2 linked regions of the Drosophila melanogaster genome follow. The protein of the gene in region 1 interacts with the protein of each later gene in a pairwise test. Each region holds a gene or a part of one and is shown in the gene's direction. Other genes may lie near its edges. The genes, in order: htl and stumps.

What was found.
Region 2: the proteins of htl (region 1) and stumps interact in a two-hybrid assay, tested with the Drosophila melanogaster proteins (2 studies listed by BioGRID).

The regions. Positions count from the first base shown.
Region 1 is NT_033777.3:18,049,771-18,054,790, reverse strand, and holds the start of htl (heartless), read left to right. Parts: upstream 1-1,806; 5' UTR 1,807-2,289; intron 2,290-5,020. UniProt on the Drosophila melanogaster protein: May be required for patterning of muscle precursor cells. May be essential for generation of mesodermal and endodermal layers, invaginations of various types of cells and CNS formation.
Region 2 is NT_033777.3:14,589,699-14,594,897, forward strand, and holds the start of stumps (stumps), read left to right. Parts: upstream 1-1,921; 5' UTR 1,922-2,271; coding exon 2,272-2,311; intron 2,312-2,583; coding exon 2,584-2,822; intron 2,823-2,962; coding exon 2,963-3,144; intron 3,145-3,305; coding exon of another isoform or gene 3,306-3,308; coding exon 3,309-3,517; intron 3,518-5,199.

The DNA.
Region 1 (5,020 bases):
CTAGCAGTTAACTTATTTTTTGGTTGTTTAATCCGCTGGTCGAAAGCGTTTCTCATTGGCATATTTCGCATATAATTGGCTATAAAAATTCATGTTAATGTGCAATTAATCATATTAGCAATTAACTTTATGCTGTTTGGCTGCTCTGCACGAGATCTCGACGAGCTGCGATCTGCGAGATGGCTGCAGATCGTGTCGCCCAACTCGAAGATCGTGTCTCCAAAAGCCTGTTACCGTTCCCGATTTTTCATTTCCCATTCGCAGATTCCCAGAGCCAAATGGCCAAAGGCTCGACCAACCAGACTTTGAGCCAATTTCCCAATATTTATTTCTATGCTCGAAACGCTAACAACTTGCGTTTCGTTCTGGCCAAATTGAAAAGCCATACGGAAGCTGAAGCTGCGATCGGCAGCCTCGAGGAGAAGCACTTTTGGGTAGCCAAGAGGAGCCCGGTTTGGAGCCAGGTTGGAGCCAGGAGGCTTGCCCAGGAGTGCATAAAATTTAAGTATTATGACCATACACACTGATCGGTGGCCGTCTTTAACCCGTGCTTTCCCCGGTCTCTCTGCGGCTTTACGAGGTTGTTAACTGTTGAAACTATGCTAACCACTCATGGGGATCCTCCCTCCCAATTCCGCCGTGGAGCATCAATTAATCAGTCAGGCGTAACGCCATTTGGCACTGAACGGGTCCCGTCGGCCACAATTGATGGTCAATAATCGTTAATTGTTTTCGATTTTCGGCCAAAATCCCCCCTGCGTCATTGTCCATTGTTTGGCTAACCCTTTTCGTTATTTTTGGTGTCTCCATAGAGACAAACGCTAAACGATGCCATTGTCTTTGGCGCACAGCGTGTGTGCTTTGATGGCCTTTTCACCACGAGTGTCATTCATTAGAGGGGCTTTCTTCCATCGCCACTTGGCTACTGGTTCTTATGTGTCTGTTGGCCATTTGACATTGGCTATAAGTAGCTCATAATTAATAACTGCTAACTTACTTAGCGAGCTATTGTGTTGGCTAATGAATCTCATTCCGCATTTTCCGCCTCAAACGAAGCGCAAAGAAATGCGCAAAGAATTTGTCAGTAGAATCTTAGGCCCTCATAGGCCATAAATCTTTTTAAAAAATAATAATAATTAAATTCAAGTGACTGATCTATTCTGACTAAGATAAGTTAGCTATTCTTTTTAATAAAGCATGATCCATCAAACCAATTATAACTACATAAATAATTGATCTGAATATAAGGAATCTTTTTGACAACTACCCATCTTCTTTGCACCCTCATAATGAAATTCATGAATTTCCTCGCTGCGCTCGAAACTATGCAACATATTGTGCGTTAGAATATCTTTGAGATATTCCATTCGACTCAATTGAACGAATTTTAGAACGAGTGCGGTCTGTGCACTCAATTACATTTCACTTTCCAAGGGAAGGCCGCCACTCAGCTACACACTTGTGTGTGTGTGTGTGTGGGTCCCCCATATATAGGGTATAGGGGCCCCTATACCATATAGTACCATACATACATATACCGCATACCCAACCCCTCGCTTTTTCGACCCTTCCTCTCTTTGGCTGCGGATTATACAATGTGTGGCTGGCGTTCCGTTCAATTTTGTGTGTTTTCTGTATTTGTTTACGCGCCTGCCGCAAAAATACATTGCAGAGATGTGTTCTCCAGCATGTTGAAGTTGATGGGGGAAATGTGAATTCGTTTCATTTGTTCCCTCATTTAATTGAAGAGATTTATTTCGCAGAGCTGGCTCGGTTCTGTTCGGTTCGCTTGCTTTTTTTTGACTCAGTTGCGATCGGACTGCGTGCCGTTACAGTAGGCGAAATCGGAGGAAAATCGTTGGAAAATCGGTTGGAAAATCGTTGGAAAATCGGTGAAAAATCGTCGAAAATTAGAGCGAACGATCGATCGATTGAACGCGTAATAACGCCATATAATATAATTATACTAATAATTATTAGTAATGCCTCTTGGTGAAAACGCACACATTTTGTGGATGGAAAGAAACAAAACAGAGTCAAGTGTGCAACGGTTTCTGGTTCTGTTTAAGTGCCTAAGTGCCATATAAATGCGTACTAAAACATTTCTGGAATTTTAAGTGGAAACATTCTCGAATTCTGTGAACTTTCCCAATTGTGTTTTTAGTGAAAGACTTACAATTTAGACGAAGGCAAGGAGAAATTCCAACGCAGAGACACTTTGGTGGATATTTGGCAAGAAGCTTTTTGGCATTTTTTTTTTTTTGTTCGTGGAGCAACGCACTTTGTGAGGTAAGTCTTTAAAAATACACACCGTGCATCGTTTAATTTAGTTTATTTTGTTTTTGGTTTTTTTTGCGTAGTTGCGCAAATCATTTGTTTGATCCACTTTTTGATTGACCGCGCACAGCAATTTGACTTTTTAACCCAAAGGCCAAAAAGTGTAAAATGTGCAGTGGTTCGGTTCCAAAGCAATTTGTGTCGTTTATCCCGCTGTGTGTGTGTGTAGTCAATCGTTCAATTATCTATTCTCTGGCTACCCCATAATAATACAGTGAATATGGACAGTTGTGGGCTCCCCATAGTATCTGTTTTTTTTATTTTTTATTTATTCCATTCGGTTCTGCTATGGTACATGCTCAAATTGAAAGCACTTTTCCACAGGGTTCCCATTCTAATTTATATTTATTTATTTGCTTTTACAAGCCAACCGATGCCCCAGAGCTCGGGAAAATATTTCAAACTCATAATTCTGTTATATTCCAACGCTCCCTTAGAATGGGATTTTGTTTATTAACCAACAGCATATAGCATATATCGTATCATCTAGAGTCTAGATTCTAGAATGTAGACGGTATAGGAACATGCAATATTTTCTAGCCGCGTAAACAAACATTTCAACTTGTCTGCTCTTTGTCCGACTTGCTCTATATCTGAGTGAGTATATAGCTAAAGATATAGCTATCTGTGTGTATATATATGTATATATATATATTTATCGGGTATCTGTTTTGTCGGTCGGTTAGCTTTACGATGCCATCTTCTAGGTGATTCGGCTTCTGTTTTGTTGCCTTTGGCAATCACTCAATTTGCTGGCCGACAACCGAAGACGCTTCTTACTTTTCGCCTCCCTTCTCTGCAATTTATTTATGAATGATAATTAAGGTTAGGTTTGTTTAGCTAATTGTGCGGCCAGTTCCCGGTATTGTTCCCATATCATCTCAGGTGGGATCCACGCAGACTTTCGGTATGATCCTTTGATCTTTATGATGTTAAAGTACAAATGTCACGAGAATATATGCTTGCTATATAATATTAAATGTTTTCATGAGAGTTTATCATAAAATCAGTGTTTACCAAATAAAGATTTCGATTTAGAAATAGATTTATGTCAACAATAAAGTAATAATGTTATTTTTTGGTATTATAATATATTATAGCTTAAGCTTATCAATGCTACAGCACTTTTATAATGGATTTTGTTGTCTAAATGTTTGTGAGTACTAATAAAATTTTAAAGCTCTAAATGGCAAATTTACAAATATATAAGTAAAGCTTGCAACAATTTAAGAATAGCACATATTTATTTCAACTAAATCTGTTGAACGTTCTTTATATAAATCGCTGCGTGCTTTATATTTCTGAAATGTAAATCGAATCAATAGTTCACTACTCATATACTTTGTGATAATTTAACGTAGCTTCGCGTTTTTGATAAAGTCGACTTGCCACAATCGACCTTTCGCTCCATCTGCTTCTTTTCGTTTACCCCATGGGATGCAACCTTCTCGCCGTCACGTACTGAATGGTATATACTAGATGAACGGGTGGGGATGGATGGATGGATGGATGGCTGGATGGGATTGGCATTGGGTGGCTGATGGCTGGTGGAACCTGCCGACGAACCGTGCGAAATAACAGACTCGTGCCGGTCTCGACTTGGTATCGGATACACTGAGCGGCAGCGGGGCAACCGCCAAGTGCGTCAATTGCGGGTCAACCCGTGCGATTGAAATGGATGCGCCAAGTGACCGGCGATTTCAATTCGATGGGAAATGTACATATACCGTGCAATGTTTGTATACTTTGCAAATACTTTCCGGAACGTGTTTGTTTATAAATCGGGCGATTTTGGACGGCACAGGAAATACATACATATACTAAAATTGCGCGCTCATTATCGATGGAGGTGAAGGTCGGAGGGTGGAGATAGAATACCAAACATATATACAATTTTTGGCAGTTTCCGATTTGGCGGATGCCTTCCTGGAAGTCAACATTTCGGATAACCCCATCATTTAGACGCTGGAGTCGCTACTTCCCCTCGAGAATCGACGACAATGTCTGTGCAACACATGTGGCACGATCTTAGGTAGACATACGTATATGTACATTCGTGTATGTTCGATGCTGATGATGTGCCCACATGTTGCAGTCAACAATAGAGCAACAAATGCAAGCCGAAACAATATTTGCCCTTGTCTCTGCTCTGACTCTGACTGTGGGCGTGGCGACGGGGGCGGGAGAACAGAGACAACTGAACACAGTAGTCTTCTCCGCCGGCCGTTATTTTTGTTGCTTTTAATTTCTTTAATTTTTTTTTGTCCGCCAGATGTGGGCTGAATGTTGAATGCGGACTGGAAAGATCAGACCCAGAACGCGGAGAGAAACTGTGTCTGTTTTAATTAAAGATGAGAGTAATACCCAGTGCAAACTGAGAGATACCGCCGATACTGAGATACAAAGCCAGACGGGGCTGGCATGTGTGGAAAATTAAGGCTGCCGTTGAAAGCGAAAAGATGCGGGACGCTAAAGGCAACGACCATCCAAACAGAACAGAACCGCAATGTGAATGAAAAAGCGAGCTTGTCAATTTATTGACTATAGCATACCTGGCAATTTGGCAACTCGACTTTACTCGAAAAAAAAAAAATGTCCTTTATAATGATATACCAATATATACCAATCATGCCATTAGGTAACAAATGTATATCATCTATATATTATACTTAGTACTTGAATA
Region 2 (5,199 bases), 3.5 Mb from region 1:
GTTATATTATATAACATTAAAGTTATTTCTGCCAGTGTAACGTTGCAGAGTCACTTGCTCCGCAGAGAGCCGCCACTCAAAGATCAACCCTCGATGGCAGACTCTCGCCTTTATGGACTACGAAATGTGCAATTTCTGCTCGGGTACCGAGTTTTACGATTTTTCCATAGGTCCCAATATGCCGGGCATCTGTGTGGTAGGGGTTATTTGGTTGTTGGCCCAGTATCGATGGCAGGCCCGATTTTAGACCCAGTCCACTTAGGAATTCCACGGACAGACCACATGGACTCTCTAGCATTTTGCCACTTCAGTTGTTGCTTCAGTTTCAGTTTTTTTTTTCCTAGTTGCACTGGGGAAAAATGTGAAAATGTGTTCCCTTAGCACAATTGTTGCTCTCCCCTGGCTGCAATTTTTAATGTGCCTTTTCCGATGCGCGTTCTTTTTTTTCTGCCTTTGATGCTCTCGAGTTTCCCCTAATGTGGCTGGAATATGTCGCCTGGCCATAGCTTCTATTATGGCCTTCTATTTTCGGCCCAACATTGATGACAATTTTCATATTTGCCATAAAGTCGAAAGGCAAATATTGCGTATCTTCAGGACAATTGAAGAAATGCTCCAAATATGAGTTTACTTTATGCTAATATATTAATATACAGCGTAAGTAATCATCATATTTTTGATGAATTTCTGGCATCTGTATCATCAAACATCCTAAAACTCTTTGTATAATTTTTTTTTTTTGTATTTTTTCCCATGATATTTTGGAAGATTAATTCTCCCACCGCTCTGCGAAGGTGAGTTCTCATGGTCCCTCCCGAAAAACGTCTCATAAATGTTTCCTGACAGTGAACATCATCGAATTGAAGACCAACCCAACCACAGACAACACTCGGCGCACAAACTCAAACTTTGACACTGATAGAACATGGGGAATACTAAACCGGGGGGCTCACCTCAGATGCTACAATATATATGATGATGGTATATGCTATGTGCGCCACATCAAGTTGGCTTATATGCTAGATGGGTCTTCTATTTCTGCTATCGGAACTCATCAAATATGCACGACGAGACCAAGACAAAACGTACGCTCACGGATGGAAAATGGGAAAGGGACAGGAGACAGGGACAGTGGACAGGGGACAGAGGACAGGGAATCATGGATATCATGGAAATCATGGACTCGGAGCGCGCTGGCGATGATAATTTGATCATGCGAAAAGCGCACGCAAAAGAAAAACATGCGCAGGTACAACAACAAAGTCGTTGTAGTCGAGGAAAAGTGAGTTTTCCTGATCGCCGATCGGTTTCTAGGGGTGGGGGAGTACCGAGTGGGTGATGGCAATATGGCAACCATATTTAAACACTGATCCCGTATGCGTGTGTGCGTGCGCGGGCGGGAGCGAGATGGGGTGAGAGTGCGAGGGAGAGATGCAATGTTTTTATGCTGCTGCCGATGTCGCTGCACTGTGAGAAAATAAGAGATGAGAATTGATTGATCTCTCAAAATGATGTACAAATTTATTAGTGAAGACACAGAAACAGACATAAAGAAATCAAATTTACCGATTAAATATTATTATTTTATTTAATTAATGTATCCAGTTCAAAATCTTGTGGTACTTATTTCAAGTAATTTTTTGTATCTGAATTTATTAAGAAAATTATGCCTAACAGTTTCGCTTAGAGAATTCGAAAGAAAATATTAATATGAGAAGGTGGGATTTTTCGGTATATTTATTTTTATCAGTGCACGCTGAGAATGGGAATGGATGAAGAAGTGCGCGTATGGTAAATAAAAACCAAAACACGAGGAGGGATTCTCTGCGTCGGCAGAGACGTCGACAGAGACATCGGCGGTGGCAGAGGAAAATGCAGACGGCGCGGAGTGTTTTGTTCTCGTTGAAGTTTTAGAATTTATTCCGTTTCGGGATGTCAATGCAGACGCACGCACTGCGCGAACTCAAGTGAACTGAAGTGAAATATTAAGTCGAACCATCACGAACTTGCATTGCCGCCTAAATTTGAATTTTGAATTTATTTGCCCCGTTTTTTCAAACTGACAATTTGTTAAGTTGCCATTTGTGGCACTCCCCGTTGTGATTTCCGTTTACGGTTTCTCGAATTCGCGCCCTGTGCGCAACTTTTGGCGCGTGCGCATGCGCAGCCAGTGAAAGTGCAAATGCATCGCAAATCAGAGCTCTGAATTGTGGTAGACTCTGCGAATCGCATATCAACTAAGGAAAAATTCACTGCATAAAGGATCTCAAGATGTTTGTCACTGTGGATAACACAAACACCTTCTTCTCAGGTAAAAAGAGTGAAAGAGTTTCTTAAAGACTTTATAAGTTTCTTTATGCGAAAAGAATTGTAACAAATATCAAAGTTTTAAGTTAGAAAGTATGAGCAAAAGCGAAAGATTATACAAAGATACAGAGATTCATACAGATTAAAAACGTACATATATGATATTAAATAAATGTTATTTATTATACTTTATAAGCACATCCTCAAACTTTGATAAGTTCAAATCAGAAAACTAACTCCATTCCTCATTCATTCTATTGCAATTGAACTCCCCAGACAACCCGTATTACTTTTGCAATGAAACCAAGTCGCCGCGCACCCCGGACTCGCAGTCCTCCAGCCGGGGATTCTCGATCTTCAAGCGGCGCAACTCGAAGGGCAGCAGCCCCCGGCCGCTGGTGATGACCAATCCGGAACAGATGCGACTGATCACATCCGCCAATCTGGATACCACGGCTACCATGGCATTAGGAAGTCCGCGGGGCAGCTTCAATTCCCTCGCCGGCTATCCGCAAGTGAGTAGCGATTTAATAGAGCATATTCCGATCTCCGATTTCGGAATACTGATTCTGATTTATCTGCTGGATCTGCCACTTCCTGTGGAGTCGAGTGAGCCCTTCTAATGTGCCGTCCTCTTCCGTTTTGCGCATTTCAGCACGCGATTGAACTGCAGACGATGAACATGTACCGCCAGCGATCTGCAAATTCGCACTCAGAGTTCCGGGAACGCCTGAATTCTTGCAACGAGACCCACAGCTCCCAGTGTCCCGGAGGAGGAGGTGCATCCGTAGCTGGGGATCACGACGAGGTCTTCAATCCGCTGACATCGCCAACAAGGTGAGCAATCCCCAGAATCGAGCATTTAATGGGGAGGGTGAGGTGATGACAGGATGCGATTGCAGCTGTTGACAGTTTCGAACCGCCCCCTTTTCCGCCCATGCTAATCGTGCGCCCTTTCTTTTCTCCCCCCACCCCCCATCTTTGCGACCAATCCTCAGTAGCAAATCGCATCGACATCACACCCTGCCAAGTGGCGGAACTCGTCGCCATTCCCTGGGAAACTGGGCCCAACATCAGCATCAACAGCAACATCAACAGAACTCTGGAGCAATGGGACTGGGATCTCCGGATGAGGTGCCCAGCATGATGGCGCCTCGACCGCCGCTCCTCTCGCCAAACAAATTCCGCGGCAGTTCCCATCGACGAAGAGGTGAGTTGACGTTCCACGACACTTGCATTTCCCATCTGCTCAGTATGCCACGGGGCAATCGCGAATTCCTATGCTAATCTGGGCTCAATAAGTAGAAGTAATCCATGTAAATGGAAATCGTTTAGCAAAGTTTTCAGATAATAGAAAAGTCGATAGTTGACAGCAAACGTATATGGATTATAGGATATGGCTGTTATGTCCCTAAAGGAATAAATTTTGGCTCACAAATTTTTAATTTTCTTTGAGAGCTATTTTTTAAATATCTGCTTATTGCTGTGTTATTTAATTTACTCGAGTCTAATATACTTTTAGTTATTTTAATATGCCCCACAAGTTCAGCCGACGCAGTGACAAAGACAAAGTGGTTGCAAATTGCATTCCCTGCCCTCGTTTCGCGTTCGCATTTTTGCACTTTGGCGGCTGTCAGGCGTTCACTCCCCTTTGCCTGCTACTCCATTTTCATGCCCCAAAAGTCCTCCCTTCTGGGGTTTTCCCCCCTGTTGACTCCTCCAGTGGCTGCCCAACAACCTTTACCTCGCAGCTTTGCATCACGTTTGCATATTAAGCGCAACTGCCAGCTCTTCGGAATTTGTTTTTTCATTTTTCGCCTGGCAGGCGCCATGGAATTGGGTCCACTACCCAGCCCCTTTCAGTTCGCCCTCACATTTAAACCACGTTAACAACATTGCAATGTTTACGCAAGTGATAATTGTAATAGTATTTTGTCGCCAGAGCGTCGCCAATCTTTGTTTTGGCATTGTTTTTCCCCGGCAGTGGAGTGGAGCTTCTGTTTGCCTTCGATTTTGTGGCGTAATGAGGGGATCGCATATAGCCGATCGAGCGTATATATAGCTGATTGTTGGCAACGCGCCTTCCTGGCTGACTGACATTTCGCGACTGGCCTGACATTGACAGTCCTCCGTGTGATGGATGCCCCTAAAGTGGGCAGTTGCATGCAAGATGGAAAGGCCTCCTGGTTTACTCGTATGTCCAGCAAAAGTCACAGGTTTATGGTTTATGAGTCGCTCAGGACTCCTTTGCACGATCATTGTGTATTCATCATAAGCGTTTTCAAGGTTTCGCTTTCATGACATCTGATGATTTAAGTTGATTTAAGGCACTTCGTGTGACGTTTAAATCCAGCGCGATTTTCGAGTCTCAAAAGAGATGAGAAATAAGTAGTAGATGAGATACTGAGGAGTGTTTCATACATAGAAATTCAGAGCATGTAGATCTGCTTTAGAAGTGCCGCAATTTATTAGAAGTGTGCCATTAAAGTTTTTACTATTATAAAAACAATAGATTCTTTCCCTTATTGTTATTGTTATCAATTATAATAACGGTTGCCCACAGCGCCTTATTCTAAAAATGATCACCCACCATATTCGACACACTTATCGCTATGGTCACTTGCAATCCATTCGAATCTTTCGCCATATGCAGGAAACTAGGCAATTCGCCTCAATCGGCAATTAACCCACAACACCCACGAACAATTCATTTCTAACACCTAAATTTATGGCAAAGTAAAAACAAACCGAACCGAATATCTCTGCCATATTTGCGAGTGTCCCACTGCAGTTGCCAGTTCGATTGGCATAAGTTATACGCATTTCCGCTCTTTCAATAACAATGGCCATTGCATTTTGTTATTATGTTGCTGGCAACGGGGCGGATGGGCA